Linked DNA regions of Elephas maximus indicus. The protein of the gene in region 2 binds, or shares a complex with, the protein of the main gene of each other region. Links are inferred from orthologs where the notes say so. Each region holds a gene or a part of one and is shown on either strand. Other genes may lie near its edges. The genes, in order: MED23, MED13L and MED24.

Region 1 (7,321 bases), on a different chromosome or scaffold from region 2:
GGCGTGACTTCGGTTCTGAGTTAAAAGGGTGTCTGGGGGCAATAGTCTCAGGGTTCCTCCAGCCTCTGTCAGACCCGTAAGTCTGGTCTTTTTTTTGTGAATTTGATTTTTGTTCTACATTTTTTTCCCGCACTGCCTAGAACCCTCTATTGTGATCCCTGTCAGAGAGATCAGAGGTGGTAGCCTGGCACCATCTAGTTGTGCTGGACTTAGTCTGGTGGAGGCTGTGGTAGTTGGATATATCAGTCCTTTAGACTAATCTTTACCTTGTATCTTTGGTTTTCTTCATTCTCCCCTGCTCCAGATGGGGTGGAACCAGCGGAGTATCTTAGACGGCTGCTCACAAGTTTTCACAATCCTAGATGCTACTCACCAAAGCAGGATGTAGAACATTTTCTTTATAAACTATATAACGCCGGTTGAGCCAGATATCCCCCAAGACTGTGGTCCCCAGCTCGTGGCCCCACAGTTCAGTCCCTCAAGGAGTTTGCATTTGTCTGTGAAGCTTCTGTGACCTTGTCTTGATCAAGTTGTGCTGTACATTGTCCAAATAGTTTTAATAACTGCTGAAGGCAGTTATTATTAACTGCACTTCAGGGCTTCAAAATGGTTCATTCTGGTTTAAACCCCTTCTGTGAATTTGTTATTTCCACTCCAGATATACTGAATAAGAACTTACGTTCTTAACAAGATTCCCAGTGATTCTTACATATGATACATTTTAAGAATTACTGCTCTACTAGTGGTTCTCAGAATTTGTCTCTACTGAATTGCTGGGCTGAGGGCTCTCGTGCATTGCTAAACTTGTTGCTGTCAAGTCCACTCCAACTCATACTGACCCTATAGGATAGAGTAGAACTGCCCCATAGGGTTTCCAAGGCTGTAATCTTCACAGAAGCAGAGTGCCACATCTTTCTACCTCAGAGTGGCTGGTAAGTTCGAACTGCCAGGCCTTCTAGTTAGCAGCCGAGCACTTAACCACTGCATCATCAGGGCTCCTCAGACATTGTTAACCAGGTAGAAACTGGTATTTGGCAATTTCCATAAAAATTATAAACAGACATAACCTTTAAGCCAGCAATACCACTTCCAGAAATTTATCCTATGTCCTGTGCATACTATCATTCATTCTAGCATTGTTTAAAGTGGAAAAAGAAAGAAGCAACCTAAATGTCAGTCTGTAGGAGACCAGTTAAATAAAGGTGCAGACATACAATGGAATATTAAGCCTTGGCAAAAAGAGAATTTACTGTCATTATTAAAAGTTATTTGTTAATAACAATGAATATTATTAAATATCTATTAATAATAAACATTAATTTATCATTAAAGGGGGAAGCCAAGCTGGTAATTAGCAGTGTGCACAGTATATGACCACCCTATAAAATGATTCTATATTCATAAATTATTAAACTGGGGACAATGACTGCAGACAGGAAAAAGAACAGGGGATCAATCTAAAAGAGATGCGAAGAAACTATTCTTTGGATCTACTCCTTTGTATTTTGAACCACATGCTTGTATTATCTATAAGAAGACAATTAAAACAAACAAAAAGTTAATGTACGGCCACTGCGTGATCTATGTCTGAGTGGCATGTTTTACCAGCAGCAGCTCAACTGCAAACAGTTCTCATCTCCCTACCTGTAATGCACTACTCCAACATGACCTCTTTAAGTATCAAACATTTTGTCTTTTTCATGGATACATTTTCTGGTGATTGTTAACTAAGTTTTACTGCTCTTCTGCCCATTTTTTATTATACTATGCATGTATCCCTATTATAATTTCTTTGTATCTATATTGTGGTATCTTTGTATCTTTACTATAGGATTATTGTATCTTCATGATAGTCTTTGTTTCAATACTGTGCCAGTTCCTCTTATCCATAAATGAGTGAAAGTTATATTCTTTACAATGCCTAACACAGCTGTTTGCAAGTCACCAAATAAATCAGAATAGGATGAAAACGTCTTACATAATCTAACATAGGAACTTTTTAAAAAGCATCATAAAGACATCCCACACTGTGCTATCATCATGACTTCTCAATACAGATTTCCACTGGGAAGTACACAAATTAAAACAAATGGAAACCAAAAGAGACAAATAAGAGAAAAAATATAACGATTTGATCTCTCCTTTTCCAGAAAAAAACTTAACAATACCATCAAAGTAAATGTAAAAAATAAAACGGGGGAGGGAACCCCCAAATCATCAGCTGAATATATTAAAAATGCAGTGCTCACCTGAGAAAGACCAGCCCAAAACTGTCTGAAGGCCCCCAAACAGCTTATAAGTTTTGTTTTTTCATCTTCAGGGGTATCCATAAACATGCTAAACAAACAAAAAACCCAAAATTATATTATTTGCCACTAGCTTTAAAAAGTCAATCCATCATAACTAGAACAGTCGATTTTACAGAACCCAAGAAAAACCTGTCTTACAAAGACACCCTCACGTAAAAACATAAAAATCTGCCATGCATTATACTCACCCAGGGAACGCCTCTTCTATAATTTCCGTTTTCTGTAAAACAATTAAAAAAAAAAAAGACACACGTAAACAAATAAAAAACGGAGGGGGGTGGTACCCCTAACGACACAGTACAAGCATCTCAATGGGCAACGTGCAGAAACTACCGGCACCCGCCGCCTGTCACCAGAGAGCTGGGGATTTCAAAGGCGACCCTGAGCGTGACACCAGCCTGAGAACCACCAACGCCTGCACACTCACACCGCGTCGCAACGAGGACGGAGGAGGCGGCTGCCCAGGCCGACCTAATTGATCCGCTGCCCCCGCCTCTCCCGCTGCATCGCCCGGGACCCCGACTAGTTCCACTCACCACCACCTCCTCAAAAATGCTCTGCAGTTGTGTCTCCATCTGCACCATCGCCCCACCTTCCTGTGGGTCCCAGCGCGGCCGGGGTCTGGCCCGAGCCTCGGGAACGGAGGGCCAAAGGGGCGGAGACGCCCGGAAAAAACCGCGGCTCTCACCCGCGTCACTTTCCTCTCCAAGCACCGAGCCGGAAACGTCTTCTCCAGGGCCCCGCACACAACTGGAGGCTGCACGGAAGCCCGGAGAGGTGGGTACGCGCCGATTACAGAACCCCCCCCAAACCAGGAGGCCCGCCAGATAGTTCCGCTTGTGCAGAAGGGCTGCTCGCGAGCGCGCCCTCAAGCGGATACTCAAGCCCAAGACACCCAGAAGCGTTGTCGGCTGCAGGCCGCCACCCTCTGGCTGGAATAGGAGTTGCTTCCTAAAACTCTTAGACTGGGGAGAAGGTATAGAGCCTAGGGGCTGCAGCCTGCAGAAAACAACTTCTGCCACGGCCTGGACCAACCAGCTTTCTGTGAGCACCTGGCCTTCTGGTGCAGCCTAGAGCCCTGAGGTGAAACAACACTTCTCTTCACAGGTACCATGACTTTTTAAGTATGGTGACCGAGGTGGCCTAGCAGAGTGCCAGACAAAAAGGACATATGAATGCATCACTACTGAATTTTAATTCGAACCATCAAAGAATAAAATCTACCTTTTTAGGTATAGTCATCTAATAATAAAAATATTTACCATTTTTTAAGTACTAATAACACTATACCAGAAAGAATTGGTTGACTTTAAACGATATCGGGAGGTAGCATATAATCAGGAACCTATGGTATGAAGGAAGAGATCCAAGTTGCACTGAAGGCATTGGTGAAAAACAAGCCTCCAGGAATGGACAGAATACCAACTGAGATGTTTCAACAAATGGATGGAGAACTGGAAGTGCTCACTTGTCTAAGCCAAGAAATTTGGAAGACCGCTACCTGGCCAACTTACTGGGAGAGATCCATATTTATGCCGATTTCAAAGAAAGATGATCCAACAGAATGCAGAAATTATCAAACAACAGCGTTAATTTCACCCGTAAAAAACCCATTGCTGTCGAGTTGATTCTGAGTCATAGCAACCCTATAGTACAGATTAGAGCTGCCCCAGAGACTTTCCAAGGAGCACCTGGTGGATTCGAAATGCCAACCTTTTGGTTAGCAGCCAAACTCAACTACTACACCACCAGGGTTTCCATTTATCATACAAGTAAAATTTTGCTGAAGAGCATTCAAAAGTGGCTGAAGCAGCACATCCACAGGAAACTGCCAGGGAATTCAAGACAGATTCAGAAGAGGACATGGAACTAAGGATATCATTGCTGACGTCAGGCAGATCATGACTGAAAGTAGAGAATATCAGAAAGATATTTACTTGTGTTTTATTGACTATGCAAAGGCATTCGACTGTATGGATTGTAACAAATTATGGAGAACATTGCAAAGAATGGGAGCTCCAGAGCACTTAATTGTGCTCATGTAGAACCTGTACATACACCCAGAGGCAGTAGTTTGAACAAAACAAGGGGATACCGAATGGTTTAAAAGTCAGGAAAGGTGAGTGTCAGAGTTATATCTTTTCTCCATACTTAGTCGACCTGTAAACTGAGCAAATAATCTGAGAACCTGGACTATATGAAGAAGAAAGGGGCATCAGAATTGGAGGAAGACTCATTAACAATCTGCATTACACAGATGACACAACCGTGTTTGCTGAAAGTAAAGAGGACTTAAAGCCCTTACTGATGAAGATCAAAGACCACAGCGTTTAGTATGGATTACACCTCAACATAAAGAAAACTGAAATTCTGACAATAGGACTGTCATGGATTAAATTGTGTCCCCCCAAAATATGTGCCAACTTGGTTAGGCCATGATTCCCAGTATTGTGTGGTTGTCTTCCATTTTGTGATTGTAATTTTATGTTAAAGAGGGTTAGGGTGGGATTGCAACACCCTTACCCAAGTCACATCCCTGATCCAATGTAAAGGGAGTTTCCCTGGGGTGTGGCCTGCACCACCTTTTATTTCTCAAGAGACAAAAAGGAAAGGGAAGCGAGCAGGGGCGGGGGACCTCACATCACCAAGAAAGCAGTGCCGGGAGCAGAGCACATCCTTTGGACCTGGGGTCCCTGCTCGGAGAAGGTCCTTGTCTGGGGCAAGATTGATGAGAAGGCCAACGGAGAGACAAAGCCGTCGCCTGGAGCTGAAGCCCTGAATTTGGACTTTTAGCCTACTTTACTGTGAAGAAATAAATTTCTTTTTGTAAAAGCCATCCACTTGTGGTATATCTCTTATAACAGTACTAGATAACTAAGACAAGGACTAATAAGCAACATCATGATAAATGGAGAACATATTCAAGTTGCCAAGGATTTCATTTTACTTGGATCCACAATCAACACCTATGGAAGCATCAGTCAAGAAATCACACGATACATTGCATTGGGCAAACCTGGGCAAAAGACCTCTTTAAAGCGTTAAAAAGCAAAGATGTCACCTTGAAGACTAAAGTCCACCTGACCCAAGCCATGGTGTTTTTAATTGCCTCATATGCATGCAAAAGTTGGACAATACATAAGGAAGACCAAAGAAGAATTGACACCTCTGAATTATGGTGTTGGCAAAGAAAATTGAATATATCATGGGCTGCCAAAAGAATGAACAAATCTGTCTTAGAAGAAGTACAGCCAGAATGCTCCTTAAAAGCCAGGATGGCGAGATTATGTCTCACATACTGTCTTAGTTATATAATGCTGCTATAACAGAAATACCACAAGTGGATGGCTTTAACAAAGAGAAATTTATTCTCTCACAGTCTATGAGGCTAGTAGACCAAATTCAGGGTGCTACCTCCAGAGGAAGGCTTTCTGTCTCTGTCAGCTCTGGAGGAAGGTCCTTGTCATCAGTCTTCTCCTGGTCCAGGAGCTTCTTTGCACAGGAACCACTGGTCCAAAGAATGCACTCTGCCTCCGATGCTGCGTTCTTGGTGATACAAGGTTCCCCTCTCTGCTCACTTCCCTCTCCTTTTATTTCTTGTAAGATAAAAGGTGGTGCAGTCCACATCCCAGGGAATCTCAACTTACATTGCATCAGGGATGTGACCTGAGCAAGGGTGTTATATCCTACCCTAATCCTCCTTAACATAATCTAATCTTGCCTCATTAACCACAGGCAGAGATTAGGATCTGCAACACATAGGAAAGTCACATCAGATGACAAAATGATGGACAATCACACAATACTGGGAATCATGGCCTAGCCAAATTGATACACATATTTTTGGGGGACACAATTCAATCCATGGCACATACTTTGGACATGTTATCAGGAGGGATCAGTCCCTGAAGGACAGCATGCTTAGTAAAGTAGAGGGTAAGCAAAGAAGAGGAAGATCCTCGATGAGATGGATTGACAGTGGCTGCCAACAATGGGCTCAAGCATAAGAACCATTGTGAGAATGGTGTAGGACTGGGCTAAAAACTGCTAAGTCACTGTGATTCTACATTTCAAATTGTCTTTCTTAGTAATCTTTGGCACAGGTTTCAGTAAGGGCAGTCAGGAGGATCCTCACTGGTCTAACAAATCTTACTATTCACTAAATGTTAATAGAAAAAGATAAGAGTGGAAAGTGTTTTTGTGCTCTGTTTTATGAGGTTATTTGAAAAGTTCTCTACAAGATGTTTTCCAAGATTGTCCTCAGTGTTGTCTTTATACCTCAGGGCCCAATTGATTGTGGACCCTCATGAATCCAGCTCCAGTTGGGTCATATTCTTATGCGTAAAGACAGGGAATAATGGCATAGATATAGATATAGATATAGATATAGATATAGATATAGATATAGATATAGATATAGATATAGATATAGATATAGATATAGATATAGATATAGATATAGATATAGATATAGATATAGATATAGATATAGATATAGATATAGATATAGATATAGATATAGATATAGATATAGATATAGATATAGATATAGATATAGATATAGATATAGATAGATATAGATGGATGTATTTTATTGTCCTTTAAGTGAAAGTTTACAGTTCAGGTTAGTTTCTCAAGCAAAAATTTATACACGCATTGTTATATGACCCTAGTTGCTCTCCGTATAATGTGACAGCACACTCCTCCCTTCAACCTCGGATTTCCTGTGTCCATTCAACCAGCTCCCATCCCCTTCTGCCTTCTCATCTCCCCTCTGGACAGTAGCTGCCCATTTAGTCTCATGTAATACTTGAGCTAAGAAGCACTCTCTTCACGAGCATCATTTTATGTCTTATAATAGTCAGGTCTAATCTTTGTCTGAAGAGTTGGTTTCAGGAATGGTTTCAGTTTGGGGCTAACAGTCTGGGGGCCGTGTCTTCTGGGGTCCCTCCAGACTCAGTCAGGCCATTAAGTCTGGTGTTTTTACTAGAATTTGAGTTCTGCACCCTACT
Region 2 (7,770 bases):
GTTCACTTTGGTTAGCTTGGGGGGTAGAGGGAAGAGTATTTCCTTTTTCTTAGCATACTTCTGTATTTTTTGACATGTTACAGCTAGCATTTTATTCTGTTTTAATTCGAAAGGAAATAAATCCAATAAAGTTTAGATTAAAAGAAAAAAAAAACCCTCAAGTGTTATGATTGGGTGATGCTTTCCCTTGTACAAGGATGGACAAATGACTGCAATTGTTGTAATTTATGGATCACTGCCCGGTGGGGGGCAGGCACTGAGCTCAGGACCTTCCCTGAGTCATCACTCTGGGAGGCCACTGCAGAGGAAGAAATGGGGTCTCAGAAGAAGAAATGACCTGCTCAAGGCCATGCAACTAGTATACCTGAGCGCAGGGATTGGAACCCAGGTATGTCTTAGAAACTGACATTCTTTTTTTCTTTTAAATTGTGCTTGAGGTGAAAGTTTACAGCTCAAGTCTCAAGTTAGTTTTTCATACAAAAATGTATACACATGTTGTTATGTGACCCTAATTGCAATCCCTATATTGTGACAGCACGCTCCCCCTTTCCACTCCACGTTTCCCACGTCCATTTAAGCAGCTCCTGTCCCTTTCTGCCTTCTTATCATGCCTCCAGACAGGAGCTGCCTATTTAGTCTCATGTACTTACTTGAACTAAGAAGCACACTCTTCACAAGTGTTATTTTACATTTTATAGTCCAGTCTAATCTTTGAAGAGTTGGAGAAGCCAACATTCTTAACTCCTACAAAATGCTCCCAACCTGCGGCTGCATAGGTCTCCAGCAGTCTTCCTAACACAGTAGATAGTTCCTCCTCTGATAGTATTTTTGCTTCCATTTTCTCTCTGCCCTTAGGTTTGGTAACCATGAAAAGGAACTAACCTGTCATTCTCAGAATAAGACCTGAGACCTGTGCAAAGTGGAACTTCTGTTTCCTGCCTGGGCCACAGGCACTCTCATAAATGGGGAAACCGAGTCCTGCTTAAGAGGTGCCTCTGACATAGGGGACTTGTCCCAGGAGCCCGCGCGGCTGGTTCACTGCCTCCACACTTCGTACTAGTCAGTTGCTGGTTTTTTGTTTTATTTCAATCATATCTCCTGAGGCCCTCCACCAACTCCCATTGAGTTAAGAGCCCTGTGGATCTTTATCAGTAATCTCAACTGTACAGAGAATTAAAGAATTTCATGGCTGGATTATGACCATAAGGACCACCCAGGTCGCCCTTTTTTACACATGAGGCAAGTGAGGCCCAGAGAGGTCAGGTGGCTTGTCCCAGGTCACACAGCTTTTCAGTGGTACACCTGGGGACTAGAACCTGGTTCCCCCAGGTTCTCTTTCTGTACTCATGTTGCCAGGCTAATCACACTCAGCGTCAACTCAGCCCTCCTGGCTTTTTCTTTTCCACGTCGGGTCCTTGGCTTTGACGGCCAAGGAAATCTCCTCGGACCAGTTTTATTTTCATTATCTGGTTTGTTTGGGGTTTTATTTACTTTTATGGTGCCATTACTTGGTTATTCTGTTTTCGATTTTATTTATTTACTGTCGTTGTTTATAACTTGCCGCTCGAGTAGGTATTTATGCATTTGGTTAAAAAACAAAACAAAACTATATAGTGCAAAGTAATTCTTCTCACCCTGGCTCCCATTCCTCTAATCTCCCTACCTAGGGACAATTGATATTACTAGTGTTTGGAGTAATCTTCTAGAGAGATCTCTGTTGATAATATATTTTTGAGATTATTCTTTCTTTTATTGTGGTAAAAGTTTATGTAACAAAACAGGTGACATTTTAACAATCTACCCCCGTAGCCCAATGACACTACCTATGTTTATCATGTTGCTCAAGGAGCTCTAGTAGCACAAGTTAAGTGCTCGGCTGCTAACTGGAAGGTTGGTGGTTCGAACCCATCCAATGGCTCCACAGAAGAAACACCTAGAGATCTGCTCCTGTAAAGATTACAGCCTAGAAAACTCTATGGGGCAGTTCTACCCTGTCACATAGAGTTGCTATGAGCCGAAAATTGACTTGATGACACCTAACAACAACATCATGTTGTTCAACTATGACCCTTAACAGAAGCCCAGTGTCCCTCCCCTAAGGAGATTATTCTTCATAAGTACATGTATCGATCGCTAACACATTATATTTAGTGACTGCAAAGGATTAAATTATATTAACGGAAAAGAAAAAAAAAAAAAAAAAAAGAAACCAAACCCACTGCCGCCAAGTCTATTCCCGAAACAGTGACTCTATAGGACAGAGCAGAACTGCCCCATAGGGTTTCCAAGGAGTAGCTGGTGGATTTGAACTGCCGACCTTTTGGTTAGCAGCTGTAACTCTTAACCACTGCGCCACCAGGGCTCCAAATTATATAAAGTACTCCTCAAATGATGAACATGTAAGTGTTTTCCAGTTTTTGCTGTACAGACAATCCTATAGTTCATGTCCTTGCACGACGCGTCTTTGTGTATCTGTACAAGTACGCTCCTAGAGGCAGAATTGCCAGGTCAGAGGGGTCTGTTCATTTTTCTATTTTGATATTCACCAAATTGATGCTGAAAGCTCCATAGCCAATTTGTATTCCCGGCGACAACGTGTGAGACCCCTGCCTCCCTCTAGGTTTGCCTAAACTTCTAAAATATCGTCATTACTTATTATGGTTTTAATTCTGTTTTTCTTGTGATGAATGAAGCAGAGCATCTTTTTAAATATTTCAAAAGCATATGTATTTCCCATTCTGCAAACTCCATGTCCTCTGCTAATTTTTCTATTAGATTTTGTTCTGGAAAGTTTTTTTTTTTTCTTTTTTTTTGGTCCTAAACTTGCTGAAGAACGTGTTTGGTTACTAGGCGTGTGGGATGAAGCCCACCTGAGATGTAAATACATGAAATTTGGGCATCTGAATCTGATGGACCGGTACACTGCCTTTCTACTCAGGCTAAGCAACACTATGCGTGTAGATAAAAGTCCTTTTGATTTTTTTCAAAACACTTTAATAAATGGTATCTTAATAATCAAACCAAACCTATTGTTCTCAAGTTGATTCTGACTCAGTAATCCTATAGGACAGAGCTGAACTGCCCCATAGGGTTTCCAAGGCTGTAATATTTCCCAGGGCAGATTGCCAGGTCTCCCCCACCCCCAGCAGAGTCACTGGTGGGTTCGAACCCCCTACCTTTCAGAGCAGCCAAGCACTTAACCATTGCACTGTCAGAGCTCCTTAGAAATTCACAACATTGGCCTTAGATGGGGGGGGGGGGGGTTTGTCAATAATCAGGATCCCTTTTTGACAGATGAAGGAGCCCTGGTGGCACAGTGGTTAAGTGCTCCGCTGCTAACTGAAAAGTTGGGTGAGTTTGAACCCATCGGCTGCTGCTCAAGAGAAAGATGTGGCAGTCTGCTTCGGTAAAGATTTACAACCTTGGAAACCCTATGGGGCAGTTCTACTCTGTCCTATAGGGTCGCTATGAGTCGGAATCGACTCGACGGCAGTGGGTTTGGCTTTTTTCTTTTTTTTTTTTTTTTTTGAGACTATTCCCTGCGAGGCGTGCGGAGAAGCATAGTGCAAGAGCCTGACTTCAGTGTCCGTGGGTGCATGTGTTCGAATCTTGACACCTCTTCTTCGCAGCAGCGCTGGCTCGCGCAAGTGACTTAATCTCTTTGTGCTTCAGTTTGCTCGTCTGTGAAACGCAGACGAGAGCGCAGGACCCACCTCCCGAGGAGCGAGGCTGCGATGCGACGCTCCCCGGGGCACTTGATGGACCTGCTGTCTGACCCGCAGCGAGCCTCGGCCACGCAGCCAGCCCGGGGGCAGCAGCGAGGGGCTCGCGCCCTCTACCGCGGCCGCCGCGAGCGTTCCCGAGGCCCGCGGTCGCGCCCCTCAGCCGCCCGGGCGCTCCGCAAGGGTCCGGGCCCCGCGAGGGGGCGGGGCGCCCACAGAGCACTGGGCCCGGTAGCCCACCGCCCTCCGGAGGGTCGGGCCGACCGCACTTCTTTCTCTCCCTCCGCGTCTCTGCCCCTCTTCCCGGCCCGAGAAGCCGGCCGCGCTCGGCTCAGCAGCGCCTCCCGCGAGCCGCCACCGCCGCCGCCGCCGCCGCTCCCGGCCCCTCCCCCGCCCGCCCGCGCCCCCCCGCGCGGCCGGCGCCCGTCACGTGACACGGCGCCAGCCAATGGCGGGCCGAGCCGCGGTCGGCGGCCGCCATTGCTGTCAGAGCGAGCGAGCCCGGGGAGGGAGGAGAAGCGAGGCTTACTGGGGAGGAGGGGGGGGGTGGGGGAGGAAGAGGAAGGAGGGGACGTCGCTCGGCTGCCGGGGTCGCCCGCTGGCTTCGTCCGCACCCCCCCCTTCGCGAGTTCGCGCTCCGCGGCGGCGGCGGCTCCGAGGCGGCGGCGGCGGCGGCGGCGGCTCCGGGGCTCGCCTCCCCTCACGCGCCGGCGGGGGCTGAGGGGGAGTCGGTGGCTGGAGATAAACAAGGCGGCGGCGGCGGCCGAGGAGCAGGGAAGGCGGAGGCGGCGGCCGGCCCGCAGCGCCGGCCCGGGAGCCAGCGGCGGCCCTGAGAGGCGGGGAGGGCGCCGGGCCGCGCGGACAGCGCCCCCCGCTGCCGCCTCAGCCGCCGCCGCCGCCGCCGCCCGAGCAGGAAGGAGCCGCGCGGCCGCCGCGGACCCCCCCGCCGGCCCGGGCCCGCCGCCCCCGGCGCGGCGTCGCCGCGGCGCCTCCCGCCCTCCTCCTCCTCCTCCTCCGGCGGCGGCAGCGGCCCGGCCGCCCCGCGCTTCCCGGTGAGGCGCCGCCGTCCGGCCCGGCCTCGCCTCGGACGCCTCGCTCCGACATGCCCCGCTCTGGCGGCCGGGCTCGCGGAGGATCATGACTGCGGCAGCGAACTGGGTGGCGAACGGGGCGAGCCTGGAGGATTGTCACTCCAACCTCTTCTCGCTGGTGAGTAGCCGGGCTGCGGGGAGGGGGGCTGGGCCGGGGGCGCCGACCCCGCCGCCGACCCCGCCGCCGATCAACTTTCTCCTCCCGCCGCCGCCGCCGCCGCCGCTGCCGCCGCCGCCGCCGCCGCCGGGACTTCGCCCCTCCCCGCGGGTCGCCTCTGGCCGCTGCTCTCCCTTGGATCGTCTCTCCTCCGCCTTGGACCCCATCCAGTGTTTATTTGGCTCTTTAAAAATCATTTGTGAGCGCGGCGCCCGGCGTGGAATTGGCATGTGGAAGTCTCAAAGCTGCGGATTCTGGGTCGCACTCGGAGCGCCCACCCTCTGTTGCAATCACACCCCCTCCCGTCTGCCCCCCTTTCCCCCCAAATGTGGAAGGAAGGCTTTGCCTGCTGCTGCCCGCGCCTGCCGTGGGCTGCTAGCAGCCTCGTCCCCCCGGTCGGATCGGCTGTCCGCCCGCCTCCCTTTTGAATTTTTTTTTTTTTTTAAATGCTGTAATGACACCTGCAATTTCGCCCGAAAACAGTTGATCGAATGCGATTGTGTCAGTAAAGGACTCTTGCACCCGGAGCTGCCGCGATTGTAAACACCGACAGCCGCCCGCCCGCCTCTCGGGGCTCAAACGCCGGAGAGCCAGAAAGCCATTGCACCGAGCCGACGGAAGGTGGAGAAAGCTTTTTCTTTTTTCTCTCCCCCTGTGTCTTTTAAAAACTGTTTTCTCTATCCTAACAACGAATCCACACACACACAAAAAAGCAACAAGCTGGGCGGTTTGATAACATCGCTTTTATCTGCCTTCGCCTGGCTCCCTCTCTCTCTCTGATAATTGACAACTTTTCCCTCGGATTTGAATCGCCTGCCTTAATCTTGAAGCAGTTAGGGTGTCAATTGTTCTCCTGGAAGCCCGGCACCCGACGGCGGCGGCTAGATTCATCGAAATTAAAAATGTATAGGACTCCAGCAACTCTTTCCCTGGCGGTGGCAGTGACATTTGGTGGTAAATGCCATCTTTGCTTTTTATTGGGTCGTATTACCTTCTCTGAAAACATTCACGTTGTTAAACCTGGCGTTTAGGCTAATAATTGCAGTGCGTGGTCTTTAAATATGTGCTTTGTGCATGAGTTACTGTATGGAGAGCTATGTGCCCGGGAGAGTAGGAATTTGTTTAAATATTGAGCAAAGGTTTGTAAACAGATGTAAGGCAATTATGTTTGAAGCGTAGAATATAATTGGAAAATTGGCTGAACGGTCTATTTAATTTAGTCTAAAAACAAAAACCAACTTATTTTAACTTGGGTACACTGTTTTGGGGGGATTGCTTTTTGGAGAGTATGCATTTTGGAAATTATTTTCTGTAACCTCTACTGTAGACGGAAGCATCATTTCCTTTTAATCCTTGTTTACACTGGATAAATAATTTAGTGTTCAAATTGTAATTAGTTACATTTAATTATGGGTGGCATAGATCCCCCCCTTAGGGACTAGTGGAGAAATGCAAATTCTTGCCAACTTTTCAAATAAAGTGTTATTAAATATGTTACAGTATTTATGCAGATAAAAAAGTCAACACATGAGATTGTTAGCTACAAAGACTGAGAGACATAGTATCCATGCTTCTACTATAGTACAACCAGGTTACATTTTTTTTTTTCAAACATTCTTATTCAGATATATAATCTTTAAATTCATTTTTAAGTAGTAATTCTTCCTTTTGGTACTGTGATGATTTTCTTGTGATCTTTTAACATATGGGAGTAAAGCTCATTTTGTCTTTTCCTTTTTCCCCTATCACTTAGTATCAGTCAGGTTCAGGGACTCATAGATCAGCAAACATATTGATTAAGGGGTATTTAAAATGTTTTTTGTTTGGCAGCTGGTGACCGCATTGACACTTTTACAGGTAATTAAAATAACCAAATAGACCAATATTGGTGAGGAGAGAGCCCCCAAATTACCATATATCATACTGACTGGTAATGGCTTGTATACGTATATGTGGCTAATTTATATACGGTAGATTAGACAACTGCAATGTATTACCTGTATAGGCAGTGTCTAGGATATATCGTTGCTTTTATCTTCTTTTTTTAAAAGCTAAGTGAGAGTGATAATGTCTTAGAGATAAGATGCTTGAGATTCTTCTGGACAAACAATTTTGTAGGCAAGGATGCTGTACTTTGATTATGACCAATTCAAGTTTTGTGCTTTGAGTATATCTTCCCTCAGCCTCTTTAAATCAGGAAGAGATTTTTGAATATATCTTTTTTTTTTTTTTTAATTTTAAGAATGACTTTTAGGTAGCAACTTTCAAATTCAGAACGGCAGAAATGCATAGCTTGATTTTTTTTTTAAGGACTATAAAGTGTTTAATTGCTACATTCTTTGGTACAGGGAGGGTGGGTAAGGTGCTTTTTTTTTTTTTTTAAATGATGAATCAGTTAAAAAGCTGCTGACTATTATAGCTCTTTCTGGTTGCAAATTGAGAATTTTAATTGAAAATCATATACAGTAGCACCCTAGACTATTAAAAATATGTTGCTTAAGGTGCATTATATGGAATAGTTGAGACTGCCAAGAGATGTCATCATCACCTGTTCAAAATAAAGCATGTCTTGTAAGAAGAATTCTTAATATGTTAAATAATAGCATATATTTTTCCTTGTGTCCTGTAGTTTTTTTTTAAGTGGAGAGAAGTATTGTTTATAGAGAATTTACCTAGATACTCGTATTAGTGTGGATTGAAATATAAACTGGAGGTTAAAGTTCTGTACCACAGTAATGACCTTGCCACTTTCTCTTACCTTAAAGTGTTCATTATGGTTTAACAAAAGTCGGTTGTGCAA
Region 3 (7,827 bases), on a different chromosome or scaffold from region 2:
GGAATTCTTTCTATCCAACAACTGCTTCTCTAAGGTGCTAAGTGGTGAAAGGCAGGTGGACACTGGGGCCCATGCTCAGGTCTCATAGAGAAATCCTCCTGCCTCTTCCCCAGGGTGAGGGCAGCAGGGACCAAGACTCTGGACACTCTACCATCAGCTGGCCTGGACTAGAACTCTGCCTTATGGGCCCTAAGGGTACCCTGGAAGGGAGCTGCCATCCCTCACCCACCCCAACCCCCAGGCACCTGCCCCAACTCCCTCCCCTCAAGCCCCTTACAGTCCATGGCCATGCCCACAGCGATGCACTTCTTGAAGCGGCACAGCTGGCACTGATTGCGGGTGATCTTGTCAATGACACAGCAGCTGTCATACTTGCAGGAGTAGGTGGGATGGAGGTTCTTCTGGATTGTGCGGCGAAAGAAGCCCTGGAGCAGGGGAAGACGAGCATGTTGTGATCCTAACCTCCCCTTCCTGAATCAACCATACAGTTCACAGGGGATGGCAGGGGGCGAGATTAGTGAGGGGACCTGGGGTCCTCTTGACACAGCTAGCCCAGGATCACTGGGCTCTGCCAGGGCAAGGGACCTTAGAAACGAGTGCCCTCGCCCCAAGCACCTGGGCAGTGGTGATGGCAGGGCCAAGAATGATGACTGCAGTAGGGAGACTCGGATCTGGGGATAGTGTGTGGTGCCAGGAGGTCTGAAGGAATAGGAGCTTAGGAAGTCCAATTAATACTTTACTTTCCAACTTGCTAAATGACCCTAAAAACAACAGTGACCACAAAATCATTTTCCTGTATGTTGTCAGTTTCCCATGTAGGCGGAATTCGTGAAATAGAGAGACCAAAAAAATTAAGAAAAGACATTTCGGTACATGCTCTAGTAGCTTTAAAAGAAAAATTTCACCAATTATATATACCAGGTTTAGCCCTTTCTTCAAAGGAAAACCCTCAAGAACCAAGATGGTAGTAGTAATGCAAATAGCCAATATTTACTGAATGCTTACTATGTGTCAAGCACTGTAAGCATTTTTATGTGACATGCCATTTAACTATGACGTAGAACTCTTATTGTTCCATTTATAGGCTGGAGACTTAGTGGTGCAGTGCTTAAGCTTGGCTGCTAACTGAAAGGTCAGTGGTTCAAACCCACCAGCCACTCCATGGGAGAAAGATATGGCAGTCTGCTTCCATAAAGATTACAGCTTTGGAAACCCTATGTGGTAGAGTTCTACTCTTTCCTATAGGGCACTATGAGTTAGAATCTATTTGAATTGACTGAACAGCGATGGGCTTGGTTTTTGGTTTCATAGGCTAAGAAACTGAAGCTTAGAGAGATAAAGCAACTTGCCCAATGTCACATGACTAACGGGCAGAAGAGCGAGAGCTGGGCCTCAGATATGGAACAGCAAGGTCTGAGCTCTCAGATTCTGAGATGCACTAAAATCACTTAAGGCAATTACCAAAAATGCAGACTTCTAGGCCCCACTCCAGACCTGCTAAATCAGACTCTCTAGGAGTAGGGCCAAGGCATCTGTCTTTTCAAGATGTTCCCTGGGGATTTAATATCCTTGAGCATGAGGACCCTTGCTCTACACTACACTGCTTGTATTGGTTCCAGGGACACAGCCATGGGACAGTAAATCCTGGTGGTCTTGGTGTAGTTGACACTGAATAATTCTGTTTCCTGGAAGGGCCCACCTTTTCAGGAGGTGGTGATCTGGGAAAAGCCATGCAGGCTGAAATTACCAACAGAAAATCTAATTATGCCTCCCCAAGTCTATGACCTTGTCCGCTCTACACAGGGAGAACCTGCCATCCTCTTCTCCTCTGTGCCCCCACCATGACCCCCAGCAGAGGCTCTCACCTCTTTGGGTATATCAGAAGCAACTGGGGAGCCCATTACAAGGCAGATTCCTGGGCACCACGACAAGAGGCTCTGATTACAGTTGGGATGGGGCCTGGGAATCTGCATTTTATCTAGCATTGTAGGCGGTCCATGAGCCTCATTTTGAAAAACACTGATATTTGTTTCCAGTCTGTCTCTCTCTGACTTGAGGACAGGACATACTCTCCATCCTCACATTTAATACAAGGCCAGGAGCACTGAACGGTTGGGCAATAGTTGGCATTTATTGGGGTGTTTCTTACACGCCTGGCACTGTTTTAAACACTTTATGTGAACTATCCTATTTCATTCTTAACACCTCTATGAGGTAGGCAGAATGATTATTCCAATTTTATAGGTGAAGAAACTGAGGCTCAGAGAGGTTAAGCAAATTACCTGTGAGTGGCAGAGCAGGGATTATGTATGAATGAACAAACAAAAGAATGAATGAATGAATGAGTGCAAAAAGAGAAATGATGGTATTACAGGTGGGCTTGAGGTTACATGTTTATAGAGCTTTTCTATCATGCCAGGTACTGAGGGCCTCAAAGGGAGTGAGATAGGGGCTCAGGCGGTAGGGGAGGGGAGGAGCCGGCTGGTCCATACCTTGCAGCCCTCACAAGTGATGCAGCGGTAGTGATAACCGGTTGCCTTGTCCCCACACACGACACACTGCTCGTCTTTGTCCAGGTAACTAGGGATATACCCTGGGAGGGAGGGAGGGAGGGAGGCAAGCAGGCATGGCTTGGGGTCCCAGCAGATAGGTTCCTGTACTTTCCCCATCCCCCAACTTTTCCTTTCTGGCCATGCCCTCACCCAGCCTCCCTGAAGGGTTGTCTGCAAGGAGAATCCTGGGAACACATCACAGGTCATCATATCTAATCCCTGGCTGACATGAGTTGGAATCAACTTGATGGCAACTGATTTTTTTGTTTTGTTTTTTTAATGAATATGAAGAATCCCAGTCCTTCTGGCTGCCCACTCTGGGCTTTTGCTGCCTTGCTTTCCAAGGGGTAGGGGATGGGGGGGTGGGAGGCAGAAGCAAATATCAGCACTTCTCTCAGGAGAATGCAGTCCCATGGCTCTTCTCTCCAGGCCCTGATTCTGCTGAGGGACTCAGCATGGGGGTTATGGGAGAAGGGAAGAGGCCCTTCCTGACCTAATTCATCCTCAAAGCCTGGTTCATGCGCCACATCAGCCCTCCTACCCCTGGACAAGTCTATCCCAAGCCCTCTGAGAGGATCCCCCCACAGAAGCTGCTGGTGCGTGTCAGACCCCAGGAGAGGCCAGCGCTGGCTGGGGAGCAGGGAGGAAGGGCACACTCAACCAAGCTCACCTGACATGCTGGTTTTCAGGGAACATTGGCCGTTCTTTCTTTTTCGCTTTCCATCTGGTGACCTGGCACTGGATGGGGACAAAGTGGGTGGAATCACAGAGTAGTCCTTGGGAAACCCCTTTCTCATCTGAGAGGCTTATACAACCCCCCAGGCCCAACTCCCTCCATCTGTATCCTCATTCTACCCCCACCCTCAGGTCAGCTGACAAAGCTAAGAAAGGTCCTGCTATCTGGACACTGCAGGGGACAGAGATAAGGGGCTTGGCTGGGGCACAAGCATGTTCTAGGGCCCCAACACACACACACACACACACACACACACACTGCAGAACATTAAGCACTCTGCTGTATAATCTAAAGGACATCCACATACTTCAACCTTCAGTACATGACACAGACGCTGGAGGTGTCCCCAGGACATGCTTAAAGCTACGCAAGCTTTAGAACATGCACACACACATACATGCAACATAACACAAGCACATACAAATAACTATGCAGCCTTCAGTATAAATCCAAGTATGATAAATAGGCACCAGGATCTATCTACATCTATGCAATTTCTAGGGCATTCTCAAATGAGTTATATGACTTCTAGGGTATAGTCATGTGATACACAACCTTCTGGACAGGCACCTAACAATACCACCCCCTCTCCTCCCACTGTGAACATGTTGTTTGATTTTCCAGTCATGCATAGGTACTAAATAATCCACAGTGATTGAAAACATACAGTGCCTAGCTCCCAGCACCTAGAACCAAGAATGAAAGACCAGGAAAGTCCTTCCAGAATCACGCTGTCCATGGCTTCCATTTAACAGAGCAGCAAACCAAAGTCCCACTTGGGCCTGGTGACACCGCATGCTAGAGACAGAGCCAGGACAAGGACCCTGAGCCCCTGCGCTCCAAGTATTAGCAACCCTCCTCCACTGCACATATATGTCACCCTGGTGCTCCATATACATGTTACATAACCCCCCCCAACAGGTTACATAAGCCCTTCTACATGCATGCACGGATTGTATAACCTCCCACACCCACCCTGGCATGTAGCATAGTCAGGACTCCTCCTCCTGGAGCCCAAAACAGCTCCCAACACACTGACACAGTGACCTTGGCCAGGGTCACAATCACAGACAGCCCTGTGCTCCCCACCCCCTGGGGATTACCCCTGTCTGGTTCTGACAAGGCTGGAGGGTCAGGATCTCCTTCTGGTCTACTGGGTGGGGGTGTGTGCGGGAGGAACTCCGGGCCACCTAGGCTCCAGTAGAGCTGGCCTCTTCAGAGATTACCTACCTGGAAGCCTTTGGGTGCAGTCCCAGGGACAGCCACAAGGTGGCGCAGAGACATGGGGGAGGGGACAAAGACGAGAGGGAGGCGGGGGAGGGAGGGGCTGCAACCCTAGGGGGACCGGGAAAGGGCATTCCCGCCTTTCTCCAACCCTTTGGGACAGACTCTCTCAGACCTACAGAAGCCTGGGCAGGGAGGTACAGGAACTACAAGTCGGAGCCGCACTAGGACAGGCCAGATCTTCCTTCTCAGAGTCTCGCCTAGGGTGAGGTTTTGGGGTAGGGGTTCCCTGGGGGGCCCACCAAACTGCAAGCCCCACCCACTTCCTCCACCCCTCCAGGGACCCAGTCTTGGGCCCCAGGGCTTTGCCTGGCCAGGCCTCAGGCCTCCTGGCTCAGGATCTGGTCTCCTAGGCAACAGCCACACTGCTCCCCAGAGCACCCCTCCTCCATCCTCTCTCCGGCCATAGGCACAAGCTGTACCCAGCTTCTGGGGCACTATGCCAACTGGGACAGAACTCTGTGCCACTTGGTGCTGATGGCAGAGACCCTCTGGGCTCCTCAAGGACAATGCAGAGCACAGGTAACCCATCCCTACTTGTGTGTGCTGGGCGGATGCCTCCCCATGTGTGGGGTAAACCTTCACGTGTGGGGTAGTGTGGGGTAAACCTTCACGGTTGGCCTGCGCTTTCCTTCCTGGGAGGAGCTTCATGGTAGCACCCGCCCTTCCCCATAAACAAGGAATAGTTTGTGGGGCTCCCAATAGGTTCCAATACAAACGCGAGCTGTGACCAGTAGTAACTGGTGCATGTGCCCTGAAATGTCATGCTACATGCACCAGGGCCTGTGGACAACACACTTGTGGTCAGATGGTGAATGGGCTGGTAGGGGGAGGAGGAAGGTGGCAAGGCCTTTTGGATACCTCATGCTCAGGTGAGGGCAGCAGTAGCAGAGGAGACACTGGGGGGCATTTGAGACTGTCCAGCATGGTCAAGGGTAGAGCCATATGCTTGCTGCCTGAATACTCTGCTCCGTATCATAGGCGTATGATATGGGCATCTCTGAACCCAGGTGCCTACTTCCCTGCCACATCTAAACGTGACCTCATCTCCTGGGGAAAAGGTAGGTAGGCAGCAGGCTTGCTGGCCTCAAGCCCGTTCCCAAGAGGTGCTTAAAAGGCCTGAGCTCAGTTCTTGTCAGGGAGGCCTTATGCCCAGCCAAGTGACCATGCCCACTGCCTGGGCCTATTACCTGTTCTCCTCTGGGTCTGACCCACACTCCAGCTTGCTTGGCTTCTGTTCCATTCACTTCAATTCCATCCAGGATGCACTCCAGCACGCCAAGAGACTGGGGTGGGCACACAGGCCCCCCCGGCACACCCACAGGCCACCCACCCCCCACCACCCAAGCCCTAGGGCACAGCACCCATGGTGCCTGCCTCAGCACTTGGCCTTCACACCATGCCCTGCGCCCCAAGGGGGGCGGGCAGTGAGAGGGGCCAGGGAGTGGCAGGTGGGAGGGCTAGGGGGTGAGCTGGATTTGTAGGGGTGTCCTGGGCTGGGGTTTGGGGAGTAGGCTCAGTGTCTTGTCCTGTCCTGAAGTCCCTGCAGAGAAAAGAAAGAGAAAGGGTAAGAAGGTTCCATGGTGGGGGGGATTCCTCTGGTGGTAGCAATTTGGGTTCTTGAGGTCCACAACAGGATGATGAAGCACGTGGTGGGCAGGCACAGGTAACCTAGTTATGCTTCCCCAGGGAAGGAACAGGGTAATCTCTTAGATTAGCCAACAAGATTGTAGACTTATATCCTAAACTCCAGAGATGGAGAGGGATGGAGGAAAGGAATGAGGTAATTTGTGTACCGTGTACCACATCTCAATCCTCACATTCTATCAAGTGCCAGGCCCTTAATAAGTATCTATAAACGTCAGCTACTATTACCACCCCTCTAGCTGTTTCCCTAAAACTCATCAGTATTATAGGGGCAAAAGGGGATCAGGGATGAGCAGTTTTCAGCCTAGGCCCTGGGAGAACCAGTAAAGGAAGGGTGGGGTATGAGGACAACGTTCAGGGACCATAGATGCCCATCTTAGTGTCTCAAGGAGAGAGATACTAACAGTGGTGGGGAGCTGACCACACCTGCTGCTGATCAAGTTATGACTCCTCAACCCTGGCCCCCCAGGGACCCCACGGCTTCCCATACAAGGTCCTAGGTCACACTTCCCAGTCTGAGGACCAGACTTCCCAGTCAGTTTAGCTGAGCTGCCACCTACCAGGATGGTGAGGGGAAGGGGAAAGGGAACACGCATTGACTGAGCAGATAATACGTGCCCTCTGAAGTGGGCATCAGAACTTTCCTGATGAGGAAACTGAGTATCAGAAAACTTGATCATTTACTTAAGTTCACATAGCTATAAGCAGGTGGCTCAAGGATTAAACTTAGTGGCCTGGCTCTAATGCTAGCTTTGTTCCACTACCTGGAGTCCAGGGCAGTGCTAGTCTGGGCCCACTATTCCATCTACACAGCACCTCTCAACCCAGGCTGCAGATCTGGGGCTTACTGTGTGTGTACACACAGGCAGGTGTGGGTGTAGGACGGGGACAAAGGGTGCAACTCCCCACACACAACCTCTATCATGTGGCCACTGCACCAGAGATCTCACCCCTGGGCCCCCCCCCAACCCGACCCCCAGGAACTGATAAGGAGCCAGGGTGGGAGGAGAAGGGAGATAAGTCAGGATACTAGGCAGGGCAGGACAACAGGACAGGGCCTCTGCATCCAGGCAAGCCCCCGTGTGGGGAGGAGTGCAGAAGGAAGGCCCATTCTGCCTCTGATACCCCCCCAGGCCAGAACTGGGCACTGGGGGCTGGATAGGAGACTGGGGGAGGGGGGCAAGCGGGGAGCCTTAGCCCAGGGAGCCGTCAAGAAAGTAGGTCAAGTTTTTCTTGGCTTGTGGAGAAATTCCTGTTATAAATTTATAATGGCGTAGCCAGCCCTGAGGGGTGGAGGTGGGTGGGGATGCCCAGGGGCTGGGCACTGGGGCCTGCTGTTCTCAGCCAGCACAGTGAGGGGCAGGGGGCTTGGTAGTCATGGGGGCTGGGCTGGACAAGAGAAGGCTATTTTCTCTCTGTCGCCTAGTCCCACTTCTATCCCTGCCTATCCAGGCCTCATTCGCTGCACAGTCTGTCTCCCTCTGAATGTGTCTCTCTCTCTGGGTCTGGGTGTCTCCCTGTCTCCCCCCAGGCTGTGCCTCGGTGCTTGGCACACCCTGGCTGCGGTGCTGCCCCCGCCTGTCTCCTGCCCGCCTGGCATGCTGCCAC

Evidence for each region.
Region 1: MED13L (region 2) and MED23 share a complex: the UniProt entries of both Homo sapiens proteins name them as parts of the mediator complex. The link is inferred for Elephas maximus indicus from reciprocal best matches to the Homo sapiens genes MED13L and MED23.
Region 3: MED13L (region 2) and MED24 share a complex: the UniProt entries of both Homo sapiens proteins name them as parts of the mediator complex. The link is inferred for Elephas maximus indicus from reciprocal best matches to the Homo sapiens genes MED13L and MED24.

What each region holds. Positions count from the first base shown.
Region 1 is NC_064819.1:200,455,478-200,462,798, forward strand, and holds the start of MED23 (mediator of RNA polymerase II transcription subunit 23), read right to left. Parts: upstream 3,073-7,321; 5' UTR 2,894-3,072; coding exon 2,846-2,893; intron 2,530-2,845; coding exon 2,498-2,529; intron 2,338-2,497; coding exon 2,250-2,337; intron 1-2,249. UniProt on the Homo sapiens protein: Required for transcriptional activation subsequent to the assembly of the pre-initiation complex. Component of the Mediator complex, a coactivator involved in the regulated transcription of nearly all RNA polymerase II-dependent genes.
Region 2 is NC_064840.1:14,031,068-14,038,837, reverse strand, and holds the start of MED13L (mediator of RNA polymerase II transcription subunit 13-like), read left to right. Parts: upstream 1-4,767; 5' UTR 4,768-4,859; coding exon 4,860-4,931; intron 4,932-7,770. UniProt on the Homo sapiens protein: Component of the Mediator complex, a coactivator involved in the regulated transcription of nearly all RNA polymerase II-dependent genes.
Region 3 is NC_064837.1:47,307,348-47,315,174, reverse strand, and holds the start of MED24 (mediator of RNA polymerase II transcription subunit 24), read left to right. Parts: upstream 1-4,806; 5' UTR 4,807-5,380; coding exon 5,381-5,633; intron 5,634-5,762; coding exon of another isoform or gene 5,763-5,815; exon of another isoform or gene 5,816-6,115; intron 6,116-7,827. Other genes in the region: THRA (thyroid hormone receptor alpha), read right to left, coding at 278-425, 2,493-2,593, 3,223-3,290, 5,763-5,815. UniProt on the Homo sapiens protein: Component of the Mediator complex, a coactivator involved in the regulated transcription of nearly all RNA polymerase II-dependent genes.